3 linked regions of the Saccharomyces cerevisiae S288C genome follow. The protein of the gene in region 1 interacts with the protein of each later gene in a pairwise test. Each region holds a gene or a part of one and is shown on either strand. Other genes may lie near its edges.

Region 1 (4,599 bases):
TATTCGTTGCTCCTACACCTTTTTTTCTTCCGTAGACGAGGAAAAACAAAAATGATTAAATAGGCGCGCGCGGTGTGATGGTGATGATAATGATGATGATGATGATAATGATGAATAAACGTTTCGGTTTACGAGTTTCTTTAAATATACATATATGATATAAAAAAAAAAATACGTACCACTTACAATTTGCAAATATAGATGATCGAAACTGCCATTTATGGTAAGACAGTGGATGACCAATCTCGATGTGTCCACTGGCATCTTCCAAAGGATGTAATTGCCATCAGGTTTAAATGTTGTGATAAGTACTATGCGTGCTTTGAATGCCACCAAGAGTTAAGTTCTCACCCGCTAGAAAAATATGATCTCCTTGACGATGCAAATAAACACTTGATTATTTGCGGAGTTTGCCGTCATGAAATGACGTTTGCAGAGTATTACGACTACAATTCAAACCTTATTTGTCCCAATTGCAGATCCCCCTTTAATCCAGGCTGTAAATTGCACTACCATTTGTATTTCCAGAACCCTCCCCCCGCTATGTGTTGAGTGTTGTTCTATAAATGCATGCCATCTTAAGCTCTGCTGTGCTCTTCTCGTTAAGGAAAAAATGCGATGGTATATATATAGATATATATATATATATATGTATCTGTATATATATGTTCATACATATATATATATCTATTATTGTTGTTATTATTATCGTGATTATTATTTAGGTCCTCCCTTCTTTTTACCTGTTTTTAATCTACCCTCAAATCCGGCTCTTTTCTTTGGTACGGCACTACCGACATACTTTCTTTTCATCTTTTCTTGCTTATTTCTCTTTTTACCCTTGTTGTCTTTCCTAATCCTCAGATTCTCTTCTCTTCTCTTTTGTCTTTCAGATATCGTGTCTTCCACAACCCTCTTACGTTCGCTCCATTCAATCGCAGACTTTCTCTTTTGTGCTTCCTTTCTCTTTATAGCTTTGCGAAGTAGTTTTTCGTCATCCCTAATCTTAATTCCTTCTGCTTGTAACATAGCCTTTTGCCATTTTTCCTTTTCCTTCTGCTTGATTTGTTCTAGTTCGTCTTTCGCCTCCATCTTATTCTTCTTGGCTTCTAATAACTTTAAGTGTGATTTTACATCATTCTTAGCCGGACCCTTCGTTCTACCAGCTTTTCTTAACCTTTGTAAATCTGAAGTGGCCCTTGCACCATCATCGAATATGATATTTTGAAACATTACACCATCTGCGTTAATTTCTGAGTCCTTCTTGCCTTTTTTGAATCTTTTTTTCGAATTGTTTTCTAAATCACTATCGATGTCTTCCATATCGGAATCAGACGCAATTTCATCCTGATCCTGTTCCTGTTCACTTTCTAGACGCTTTCTTTTTTTCAACTCTTCCTTGCGTTTCCTTTGAGCAAGAATAGCCTCTCTAGAACCGGGTGCTTTCCTTTTACTCTTCATATCTGAAATTTTCGCTTGTAACTTGGAACGTAGTGCTTCCAAGTTTTTCTTTCTTTGTAGTTTCTCTTCCTCTGTAATAGACTTCTTTTCGACAGATCTATCGGGCTCTGTAGTATCTTTTTTAGATTCTAATGGTATTTCATTTCCCTCATCATCAAAGATCACCTTAATATCCTCTTCCTCTTCTTCATCTTCGTCTGGTGCTATTATCATAGGATCGTTTACTTCTACGTTCAGGTCGGAGTCTCCTTCCACTTTTGATGTTGCTTCCTTTTGCTTTTGCATTTTCATGTGCTTGAATTTTTCACCAGGTAGGACCACCGGCTTTGCGTCTTTCTCCTTCTTCTTCATTACTTCTAATGTACTAGATGTTTCATCATCACGTTGCTCCGGGTCTAATTTTTTCAGTTTATCATTTTTACTCTGTTCTTTGGTTTTCTTCTTGGCCTTCCATTGCTCTTGACTTTTTTCATCATAATAGTATTTTGCAGGAATTAAAGCCAATAAACCATCGAAGGCGCTTGAATTAGCACGAAGGCGCTCCTCAAGTGAATTACTCATCTCAGTCTCCTATATCTTTCAATTCCCGGACTTTCTTTATCACTTGCAACAACGTCTCAGTCCTCACTTGTTATTCATCTCTTGGTCATCTCATCTCTTTTATTGTACTTTCCTCTTTTCTTTACCGGAGATGAGAATAAAAAGAATTCATTTTAAAAAATTTTCAATTTGGTGTCTGGGTGAAACTTTTTAATCGTGTAATCCCAATTAAACCACTCTACTTTACTTTAATTGGTACACGAACTCATTACACACCTTTGCCTCTATTGCTTGTGTCAATCGTGTTGAGAGAGGAAGCCCAAAACAAGGGAAATTAACCTCTGTAGGCAAGCCATCACATTTGGCAATAGCAGCCCTCATTTAATTTAATTCGGCATGTGGCCGGCAGGGTAATGCGCTCTGCTGCTGACAAAATTGAAAGAAAAATTTTTTTCATCAACAGTTTGCAATACTTTCTTTTTCATATTTAATTCATCCATTCCGTCGTTAATTTTGTTCAAAACTGGTGTCCATCCTTAATACCAACTCAATTCTTTGATTTTGGCCCTCGATAGATTCAAGATGTCCCAAGGTACTTTATACATTAATAGATCTCCAAGAAACTACGCTTCTGAAGCTTTGATTTCTTACTTTAAACTAGATGTCAAGATCGTTGATCTAGAACAATCTAGCGAGTTTGCTTCTTTGTTCCCATTGAAGCAAGCCCCTGCATTTTTGGGTCCAAAGGGCTTAAAGCTAACTGAAGCTTTGGCTATCCAATTTTATTGTATGTTCCATATTTTATTTTAACACTTCCACATACATTGTTTTGCGCGTTTCCCGTTCGTTTATTTGGCACGTCATTTTTCTTCGAAACATAATGATGAAAAAAAATTTTATCAAACAGTTATCCCTGTCTGAATGGGTAATAATAGGTAACCTCTCATATGTTGATATTTGTATTTCTGATATGTTTCTTAAAGAAAAATGAAAGTCAAAATAACAAAAAGGAAGTACAAAGCGTGTCCTAATCCAGGAAAAAATATAAAGGATTGTTTTACTAACATTTCTTCAATTAATGGTTGTATAACCATCGAGATGATGTATATTTAGTGGCTAATCAAGTTGCCGATGAAAAAGAAAGAGCTCGCTTATTAGGTTCCGACGTTATCGAAAAGTCTCAAATCCTTAGATGGGCATCTCTAGCTAATTCCGATGTCATGAGCAACATTGCTCGTCCATTCCTTTCTTTCAAAGGTTTGATTCCATACAACAAGAAAGACGTTGATGCTTGTTTTGTTAAAATCGACAACCTAGCTGCTGTCTTCGATGCTAGATTGAGAGACTACACCTTTGTTGCTACCGAAAACATTTCTCTAGGTGACCTTCATGCCGCTGGTTCTTGGGCTTTTGGTTTGGCCACTATTTTGGGCCCTGAATGGAGAGCTAAGCATCCTCATTTGATGAGATGGTTCAACACTGTTGCTGCTTCTCCAATCGTGAAGACTCCATTTGCTGAAGTCAAATTGGCTGAAAAGGCTCTAACCTACACTCCACCAAAGAAGCAAAAGGCTGAAAAGCCAAAGGCCGAAAAGTCAAAGGCTGAAAAGAAGAAGGACGAAGCTAAGCCAGCAGATGATGCTGCTCCAGCTAAAAAGCCAAAGCACCCATTGGAAGCTTTAGGAAAGTCCACATTTGTCTTGGATGACTGGAAGAGAAAGTACTCCAACGACGACACCAGACCAGTTGCTTTGCCATGGTTCTGGGAACACTACAACCCTGAAGAATACTCCATCTGGAAGGTTGGTTACAAATACAACGACGAACTTACCTTGACTTTCATGTCCAACAACTTGGTCGGTGGTTTTTTCAACAGATTGTCCGCTTCTACTAAGTACATGTTCGGTTGTTTAGTTGTCTATGGTGAAAACAACAATAATGGTATTGTTGGTGCCGTTATGGTCAGAGGCCAAGATTTCGCTCCAGCCTTTGATGTCGCTCCAGACTGGGAATCTTACGAATACACCAAGTTGGACCCAACCAAGGAAGAAGACAAAGAATTTGTCAACAACATGTGGGCTTGGGATAAGCCTGTTGTTGTCAATGGCGAAGATAAGGAAATTGTTGACGGTAAGGTTTTGAAATAATCTCAATAACTCTTCTTCCATATTTTCTTCCCAATATACATAAGAGTCAAACAAAACGAATTTTCAAAAGAAAAAAGAAAAAAACCCTGAAGTCTACTTCATGATTACCCCATACTTACGCGTGGTTTAATTCTATGTAACGATTAACGTCCATGTAATCATTATATATATATATATTGTAATAATCTCTCTAATTGAGTATCACAATCTGCTGCGGTTACTCTAACAATATTTTGCATAAACTTGATTCTTCTCTTCTTATTTCATGTTTCAGTGGGGCATTTTCCATTGTACTTTTGCAACAATAGCGAAAAAAACAATTTTCCGTAAAGAGAAGCGTCAGTCATAAACGGTGTATGTTACCCGAACTGGAATGAATTTTATCTTAAGACTGGAAAACAATTTAGGATAGAACTGAAGATAGTGCAACACGTCTGGTGATATCATGTGC
Region 2 (5,313 bases), on another chromosome or scaffold:
AGTTTTGCTAAGACAAAACAGAAGGCCAGAATTAGGTGACAAATTTTCTTCTAGACATGGTCAAAAAGGTGTTTGTGGTATTATTGTAAAGCAAGAAGACATGCCCTTCAACGATCAAGGTATAGTTCCAGACATTATCATGAACCCTCACGGTTTTCCATCTCGTATGACTGTGGGTAAAATGATCGAACTGATATCGGGTAAAGCTGGTGTATTGAATGGTACATTGGAATATGGTACTTGTTTTGGTGGTTCTAAACTTGAAGATATGTCTAAGATTTTGGTAGACCAAGGTTTCAACTATTCCGGTAAGGATATGTTATATTCAGGTATAACAGGTGAGTGTTTACAGGCTTACATCTTTTTTGGCCCCATTTACTATCAAAAGTTAAAGCATATGGTCTTAGATAAGATGCATGCAAGAGCTCGTGGTCCAAGGGCTGTTTTGACACGTCAACCAACTGAGGGTAGATCTAGAGATGGTGGTCTGAGGTTGGGTGAGATGGAGAGGGATTGTGTAATCGCGTATGGTGCTTCACAATTGCTGTTAGAAAGGTTGATGATTAGTTCAGATGCTTTTGAAGTTGATGTCTGCGATAAATGTGGATTAATGGGCTATAGTGGTTGGTGTACTACCTGCAAAAGTGCTGAGAATATTATTAAGATGACTATTCCATATGCAGCAAAACTGTTATTCCAGGAATTATTATCCATGAACATAGCCCCAAGATTAAGATTGGAAGATATCTTCCAGCAGTAAGAAATCATATATCTTGTACTAAATTTTGCGTTATGTTAGCAATCATATCTATTTCGTGAGGAACTTTAAGAGAGTTGAACGATTTCGAAAATTATATAACAGTAAACCGTACTTCTTTCATTTTTGTACCTTGCTTTACATCATTACTTTTTATAAGATCCATCGAACGTTTGACGTGTTTTCTATCCATAAACCGGCCAAAATATAAAAATATCCAGCTGACAAGAGAAAGCTTGGAGTGCTCACATGTTAGCACATGTGAGCACAATGATATATACGCTTTAAAAAAGACTTTTCTTTATTTTACACATTTATAGACTTAACTATTGAATTCAAGACAAAAAATCAAATCTTGCTGAGTTGTTAAGCGTCTGACATTTCAACATCTTCGTTGTCATCATCACTTTCCAGACTGTTTAATAATTTTGCTTCTTCTGTTTCTCTTTCTTTGTCTTGTTCTTCCATACTTTCTCTCATTAATCTGGCCTTTTCTTCCTTAACTTCACGTTGTACTGCAACATAAGAACCTAAAGGTGTTTTATTCCAAGCTACATCATTCAAAAATCTTGAAACTTCAGATTTGTTTGTTGGCCCAAATTCAACATCTGATCTCTTTTCTTGGATGAATGTGCTGTTTTGGTTCAATTTTTCTACAACAGTTGATAAACGTTTGTTAAGTTTGACATTAGTTGAAGTCTTGATGTAACGGCGTAAAGAGATAATAACCGGTGTTACAAGTTCAGGAAATGCAATGTTTTTACAGTACAGAGCAAAATAATCGCCCAATAAGTCCACAAACTGTTCTGACAAACCCTCTTGGTATATTTTTGTATTCAGATAAGCTTGCGTACATTTGATGTTGTGCTCAAAATCGAAAGCAGCCAAGTTAGGGCTCTTTTTGGGTGCCTTAGTGAAAGCCGTTGAGGTTAAAATTTCAGAAAGTAAAGGATATATTGGAATAAAAACACCACTATTTTGAGAAAGTCTAATAAGTGATTTAATCAAATAAAATCTTAATGGGAAGAATTGTGGTGTTGGGATTAATCTGATTACACCCAAAGTAACCTGAACCAATGGGTAAATTAATTGTCGTAAAGGAGATTCACTGCCATTTTCCTTTTCTGGTTGACAAGCAAACGATAGTACACGAGACCAGAAATCCAAGGAGTGACAGAATTGCCAGTTGTATACAATCTTGTAAGCTTCTGCGGAATTAATTTTACTGGATTTTTTAGTTGTCGCGTTCATTGTATTTCTTAAATGAATTGCCAATTGCCTAATATACTCAAATCCAACTTGGTAACCTAGAACTTCATCGATACCGAACAATTCAGCTGCCGAATTTTTTTGAAAATTAATCAGTGGCATAGAACGCATATTCGTTTTACGACAACTTTTGATAAAAGTGGAGTACGTTGTTTTTAAGGTTGTTTCTAGCATAGACTTCTTGAACTCTTTGGTGGTATTGATCAAAAAGGCAAAAGAAGCAATCTGGGTTTCTAATTCTCTCGTTGTAGACCATACTCCAACAATTGATTTAATAAGCTCCTTTAAGATCCTTCTGTATGATAAAAGATAAGGCATCAATTCGTTGACAGAATGAAGAACTAATGCTGCTGTTTCCGTATTAGTAATATCATTCAATAAAATCAACAAAGAGCCAGCATGCGACTTGACAATGGACGAGACCCTGGAGACGTTACCTCCATTTGGTAAGGTCCTTGCGCCTTTTACAATCTTGTATGGGGCCATCTTTTGAATCGCTTGTGGTACATCTTTCAAGACCATGAACATCAATTCGTGGAATGCTTTCTCATCAGTGATAGCATATTTATAGTCTTCGATGTTTTCTTCCTTGTTCAAATTTACAGCAACCTTGAAAGCACTGATTATGTTCCTTAGTAATTTTAAGCTTGGAGAATCATGAAGTTGTTTTTTCCATTTCCTAACCAATTTCAAAGAAAGCTCAATTTTTTCCTTTTCCAGCTCCATTTGTTCAGATTTTTCTTCAATATTACTGTTTCTTTCAGCATCTTCACCTTCATCTTGACTATCAATTCCATCCAATGGATTGGTACCTGCGAAGTCCAATAAATCTTTATCATTTTCCTCCAAATACTTATAAAATTCGGGATCCTTTTCGGCCAACTTTGCCATGCTTTGTCCCATGTCTTCCTCCTCTTCGGAAGAGGAGGAATCTTCATCAGATTGCTCTTTCGTAGTTTTTTTCTTCAATTTTTTATTCTCTTTTGGAATTTCGATGCCCTTTTCAAAAAAAGTTTCGACAGACATGTCCTTAAAAACCTCTTCCTTTGCAGATTTTTTCAACTGCTGTTGTTCCCTAGTACCAGCAGCATCGGCCTTTTCCTGATCAGTTTTGTTGCCACGACGGCCTTGGATTCTCTTCTTTTGGATCTTTTCCTTTCTTCTTTGGTCTAGAGTATGCTTCAAATGCTTCGATTGAAACTTCTTGGTCGATTTAGAAACTTTACCCATCTCCACTTATTCTATTGTTGACCTTCTCTATCTCTCTTACAATTCAAAAATTAGTATAAATGAATTTACCCATGTACAAGTATTCTGTTTCTCTATTTTCTCTGTAAATATCATGCTCATCTCATCGGAAGAAAAAATTCAGAAAATTTTTCAAAACTCGTCGAAGATGATAACTACTATTTGATGTTATGGGTCAAGATACATTTAACAGAGCAATATTAACGAAGGACCTTCCTAGTAACACGTCTAATTACTTTGAACAATTCAATATGCGGGAATGTTGAATCTGTGTCATGCTCTTCGAGGCGTACGTCAGTTTTCCTGTTCTGTGATTGTGAAAGTGAAATGTGCGTCATGTTCCATAAAACTACAGGATCAGGATCCTAGTAAACCAGGATATTATACGAAGCCAAAAAGTCTACCCGACTCAAAACTAAATCCTGACCTCCAAGATCTGAAGTATTTGCTATTCAGTCAAGACATACAGCTCTCGAAACAGGCAACTCAAAATGATCCTGACCTCAAAACCAAAAGAGATTTACTATTGAGAGTGATTTGCAAAAGGTGCAGTAATGCCCTTCATCATAACAATTATAACCCGGAAGAGTTTCCCGAAAGCACATTAAATGATATTCTGAACTACGTCCCCAGAGGCTCAAATGTTATGCATATTGTCCCCTTTGTAGAATTTCCCTTACATTTAGACCCCAATGTTTTGAAACGAAATGATTTAGATACTACATTAGTGTTAACGAAAAGCGATCAAGTTTTTAAAGATAAAAATGCTGTCAGCAAAAAGGTTCCTATATTCATGAAGCAATTTTTAAAGAACACTTTAAGAATTGACTCAAATAAAACATTCGCCATATCTGCGCTGAAAAACTGGAACATATCCATGTTTTACAACTACTTTAAAAACTACACATATTTGCTAGGCAACCCTAATGTTGGTAAATCAACTTTGATCAATACTCTACTACAGAAATATCTTGGATATAAGGTTAAAATTGATTCTACTGGGAAAATTAACTCCCCCTCTGAAGAAGTGATGCAAGAAGCTTTTACGAACCCGAAGAATTTTTTCAAGATTCAAGCTGCTGGTGTATCACATATTCCCAATTTAACTAGATCCGTACAAGCCTACCAAGTTGGAGGTAAAATACTTTTTGATCTTCCAGGCTATTCAACTTCCACCTCCAGATTACGCCTAGAAGAACTAATCGACGAGCGTTGGCTTCAAAGGCTGCGAAAAACCGATTTATTCAATCGGAAGCATATAAAACAGAAGACTTATGAGTCTATGAAGGGCACATCACAGGGAGGCTGTTATACCGTGGGAGGGATTTTCTACCTGGTACCTCCGAAAGGATCCATAAATCAGATTGTGAAATACATACCAGGACCATCAAAAACATTCAAGAACATTGAAAAAGGTATTGATGTATTCAACTCGTGCAATTCATCATCTGGCACACATCCGTTATCACGGTATTGTGGAATTAAAAGCGTTATATGCGAAAAAAGCCAGTACAAAAGGTACGCAATACCTCCATTTATTGGAAGTATAGAGATCGTTCTGAAAGATATAGGATATATTTTATTAAGGACAACTGGGAGGTATGAGTTCAAAGGACTACATGAGATATGGATACCTAGGGGTATCCAAGTAGGTATAAGGGAACCGCTAGAAAACTTGATTGAGTCTGGCTACCAGCGTTACATTGAAACAAATGGTAAAGAGTCAAGCTGTCCCAGAGATAGACCGATCATCAGTTCCCTGTATGAGATGGCCCCGGATGAAGCTGATACTTTGAACGCAGTGAAGAAGTCGTATTTAGAAAAAACCGAGAAAGATTTATCTGCTAGAAGATTTGTCGACGATGATCCTTATGATTTGGTTCAACACCTAGAAAAAAAAAAGAATCCCTATTGGTACTACCAATGGTAAGACTCGCTGTTCACTTGGTTGCACCAATAAGTAGTAACGCACATGTAAATATGAATGTAAGTAAACTAAAAAGAAAGTTGGGAACAAAGTATATTCAAAAACGAATATA
Region 3 (4,240 bases), on another chromosome or scaffold:
AGTCTTTTCCTGACTAGAATTGGGTAGAAAGAAGAAAAAAATAAGTTAATAAAAATCAAAAAACCGAAGACGAATATAGCTCTTTCAAGTTGTCTTTTTTAAAGGAATGCCTTTGAAAATTAGATCTTTTAAACTTTCAAAAATCTTTGCCTGGATTTATCGAACAACAGCTTTTCATAGCCGAAAAGATACAGGAAAAATGAGGAAGAAACCGATGAATTGTTTTATAAGCTATCACCTAGCGATAATAATAGGTAAAGTAGAGATCCTATAGCTAGTACGGACCTTTCTTTCGGACGTTCTATAGAGTTTTAAACGAGCGGGCGTAGAGACTCGCACTACGTTTTCTTCGCACTACGCTGAGGTCTTCCAACTCTTCTCCAGAAGGCTTTTCTTTCCCTTAGTCCACCCGATAAAAATGGGGCCCTTTGAAATTCCGTTTTGTAGCTTAGTTTCTCGGACTTAAAGCATGTGCTCACCATACTACCATCACCCGAATGTACAGCCAACGCCACTTTAGTGGATAATAAGTCATGATAGTGGACGAACAATCGGGGTAAAAGGGGTTGGAAGAGAACGGCTGGAATCCATCAATCAGCAGCGTTTAACGGTTCTAATTTTCAGTTACAAGGATGATCAACGAGAGCCTTATTTCTAATGTTCCCTAATGTATATGTGTTCCGGCTACTGTTTAGCTGAAGAGCTGTGTCTAGCCTTCCTGGCGGTTATCGTTCACAGTCAGCTTGCGCTTTATTTCATTAACATCGAACTAAATACTAGAGGCCATAACCGCAATTACAGCTGCGGCGATAATCTAATTTAACGTCAATGTCTGAATTCTTATTGCTTTGAAGATTTCTTCACCTTTCTTGACGACCATCCAGTAGCACTCAGTGAAATAGGAACAGAAAGAAGATAACGCTTTTTTTGCCGCCATATATTTCTTTCTATACAACACAGCTTCTTTATTTGTATCATCCGCGGAGAAAAGTAAAATGAAAAGCTTATAAAGAGCAATAGATACTAAAAAGAAATAGAATGTTTTCGGATTTACATACAGAAGGTTACAATATTATGTAAAAAGAATAATATATATAAACATCTATCCGTACGAGCGCGTGTACTAGTTTTTCATAGAAACCAATTTAACGTCGAATGTCAGTTCGGAATTGGCAGGAATACCTGGCAGAGCTTGCTTCCCGTAGGCATATGGTGCTGGAATGATGATTCTACGTTCGCCACCAACAGACATACCGGCAACACCAATGTCCCAGCCTTTGATAACTTCACCACGGCCAAGTTTGAATGCAAATGGTTTACCGCTGGTGTTCTTGTCGAAAACTTTACCGTTCTTTAACTTACCAATGTACCTCATGCCTACTCTGGCACCTCTCTTAGCCTGTGGGCCATCACCGATAGTACGGTCTTCGATTACTATGCCGCCTTCCAAAACCTTACTCTTTGGTTTATGCTTATCTTGTTCCTTTTTGCTTTTGGGTTTTGTTGGACCCTCCTCTAAGTCCTTCTTGAATTCGACCTTCTTTACTTTTTTAGCTTTCTTTTCTTCTTCTTTCTCTTCGTGCTTTCTCTTTTTTTCCTTTTTGCTTTTCTTAGGTTCTGGCTTAACTTCTTCTTTTTGTTCTTCTTCTTCTTCTTCTTCTTGTTCTTCTTCTCCATCATTATCTTCTTCATCTTCTTCTTGGACTTCTTCAATACGAACTTCTTCTTCCTCTTCGTCATCCAAGTCGTCCATGTCGTCGCCAATAATTTCATCCTCATCTGGGGTCAAGTCGTAGTCTTCACTGTCATAGATGTCAGCGTCTTCATCTTCGTCTTCACCTTCGACTCCCATTGGAGTATCAAATGGATGCTTAACATAGTTACCGCTCAAGGAGATAGCGTAAGAACCAGTGACAATGAATTGGACTTCTTCTTCTGGAGTAATGGTCAAGTCCAAAGATTGTTGGTATTGGGCTTCCGGAGATAAAGTCAAAAGGACGGATTCTTGGAACTCATCGTCCTCGTCATCGTCTTCTTCATCATCCTCACTTTCACTTTCAGCCTTCTTGCCTTTACTCTTCTTTTTCTTTTGGGTTTTTTCCTCTTCTTCTTCCTCAGAGGATTCTTCGTCTATTTCGTCTTCATCAAAATCACCACCTAAAAAATCATCATCTTCAAAGTCCGGGTTTCTTTTGATAATTCTTAAAGTCGATGGTTTGTTCTCTTCATCGATGGCTTCCGGGTTCAAAGCAGCCATAGTAATACGAACGGTGATGGGCATCGTGACGTCGATTGCTGGAACCGGGGTATAAGGTTCAACATTCAAACTGTAGGTAGCTAGTGGTAACAAATCAGACATATTGGGCTGGTTGGATGCTTGCTTTCAATTATGTATGAACTTTCACACAATTATGTATTATATAGAAACGTGTTAGTAGGCTCTTTTTTCGAATTTAAAAATTTTACCTTCACTTTTAAATTTTGCCGTCCTTTAGGAATGACGACAGTCCGTAGAGGGCTGAAAATTGAACAGCGAGCTAATACTAGTGGATTCTAATCAATGGAACATGAAGCATGTATCATAATCTCTGTTCTTGCCGGTTTTGACTATATAGATGTAGATGCAATCCAGATTTTAGTGAAAGGTAGAGGAAGCAAGCCAGTTGAAAAAGGTAGAAAGTATGCGATGTGTCATATACATTTGGCATATTCTCCCCATAATATCATGAACAGGTGATAGTAGAATGTTTGGAGCATTGATGACAGATTATTTCCAAAAGAAGTTTGATTGTGCGATCGCTCTCTTTTATGTTCTTTGATGCATTTTTGTACAATATATTAAAGTAACAAATCGGCGAAAGAACGTCAGTAATGTGTCGTTGCCAACCGTAAAGTGCTCGATGATTAATTTCACAATACATTTCAACCAAAGTGTTTTCATTCAAATACTGGCACAAAGGTTTGTTTTTCTAAGTGCCTATGGTGTGCGATAAAATGTTTTTGATGGAACACAGTTCATTGCTCAGAAAATACGCCATTTATCTATTTGTGTCGTTCTTCCTTCCAAGAATTACAAGAATTTTATTTTTTATTCAATGCTCAATCGTCTGCTCAAGGACTTCTGGTAAGTTACGTTAAATAATAGCTATGGCGCTTTTCTCATTTCTATAATGCAGAGTTGGTGGCTATAACCGTATTATCGATGTTATTACCGTTCGAATATATGTAAGCTTAACATTGCCGCATTAGTTTTGCTTGAAGATGCTCTGTCCATATTTTGTTAACCCGTCTTAGAATTGATCATTGCTTGCTTTAAATAATGAAGATCTTTTGACGAAGCCAATGACTATGCTGTCTTCAACTTTTGGCAGTAAAGCCAATTCTGTGAGAACTCGCGGGGAAACTCCAAAGCACACTTAGAGAATAAAAATACATGGAGTCGAAGCATGACTCGGATGATTTCTAACGTCCTGACATTTACTCGAAAGTATTTCACTACCAGTGGGGTAAAGGACAATATCGACGTCCGTTGGCTATGTTGGTAACTGAGATGAAGTTGTAACAAATTCCTGCAGGATGCTTTTACACTCACCGGTTGCATTTTCCTCATTTCATAGATAACAAAGTAAACAGAGCGCATTTTTTGGAGTATTTTATACGTCAATGCGACTTTGATACCTGAAATCCCCTTAATATTGGTAGGAACATTGGGCTCAAGCGATGCATTTTCTCTTGCATTTTGTTTCTCACTATTTGTCTTTTCTACTTTCAATTTTCTTATCTTTGTTCTATTCCCGTTCCTGTTCTATTCCCGTTTTATTTGCTGTGAGCAGGCCTTGTTATTGCCAACGTTTAAAACCATTTACTTTTTGTTTAAAAATCTCTCTTCTATTTCCACATCTCACCTAAAACAACGATCATTATATAACATGAGGTGTATTGTTTTTCCTCACCATACGATCAAATATAACATCACAAAGCTTACAGCAGAGCGACACTTTTTTGCTTAACAATTTGTATTTTGTATGATGCATCCAAGTCTTGCGCCAAGAAAGTCTACATTATAGGAAAGATCAAAGGAACTTGAAATAATGTATTCCTTTTTCTTTTCACGCCCTTTCTCTGGGTGATTGCCGCAATGAAGATATAAATATGCGAATAAAAAACCAATGCTCAATACAAATGCACTTATGAAACTGTAGTTAAATTATAATTTTACCTGCATATATATTATTATAGA

The links. Proteins that work in one complex are often made in the same cells at the same time.
Region 2: the proteins of RRP14 (region 1) and NOC2 interact in binary tests that used the Saccharomyces cerevisiae proteins (3 or more experiments, as listed by UniProt).
Region 3: the proteins of RRP14 (region 1) and FPR3 interact in binary tests that used the Saccharomyces cerevisiae proteins (3 or more experiments, as listed by UniProt).

The regions. Positions count from the first base shown.
Region 1 is NC_001143.9:280,308-284,906, forward strand, and holds RRP14 (ribosome biosynthesis protein RRP14), read right to left. Parts: upstream 2,023-4,599; coding exon 718-2,022; downstream 1-717. Other genes in the region: HOT13 (Hot13p), read left to right, coding at 202-552; TEF4 (translation elongation factor EF1B gamma), read left to right, coding at 2,584-2,788, 3,115-4,148. UniProt on the Saccharomyces cerevisiae protein: Involved in ribosome biogenesis and cell polarity. Required for the synthesis of both 40S and 60S ribosomal subunits and may also play some direct role in correct positioning of the mitotic spindle during mitosis.
Region 2 is NC_001147.6:725,455-730,767, reverse strand, and holds NOC2 (mRNA-binding ribosome synthesis protein NOC2), read right to left. Parts: upstream 3,257-5,313; coding exon 1,124-3,256; downstream 1-1,123. Other genes in the region: DNA-directed RNA polymerase III core subunit RET1, read left to right, coding at 1-760; GEP3 (Gep3p), read left to right, coding at 3,534-5,204. UniProt on the Saccharomyces cerevisiae protein: Involved in the intranuclear transport of ribosomal precursors.
Region 3 is NC_001145.3:118,966-123,205, forward strand, and holds FPR3 (peptidylprolyl isomerase FPR3), read right to left. Parts: upstream 2,360-4,240; coding exon 1,124-2,359; downstream 1-1,123. UniProt on the Saccharomyces cerevisiae protein: Proline isomerase that belongs to an abundant class of enzymes that catalyze the cis-trans isomerization of X-Pro peptide bonds and can accelerate the refolding of proline-containing polypeptides. Specifically binds nuclear localization sequences.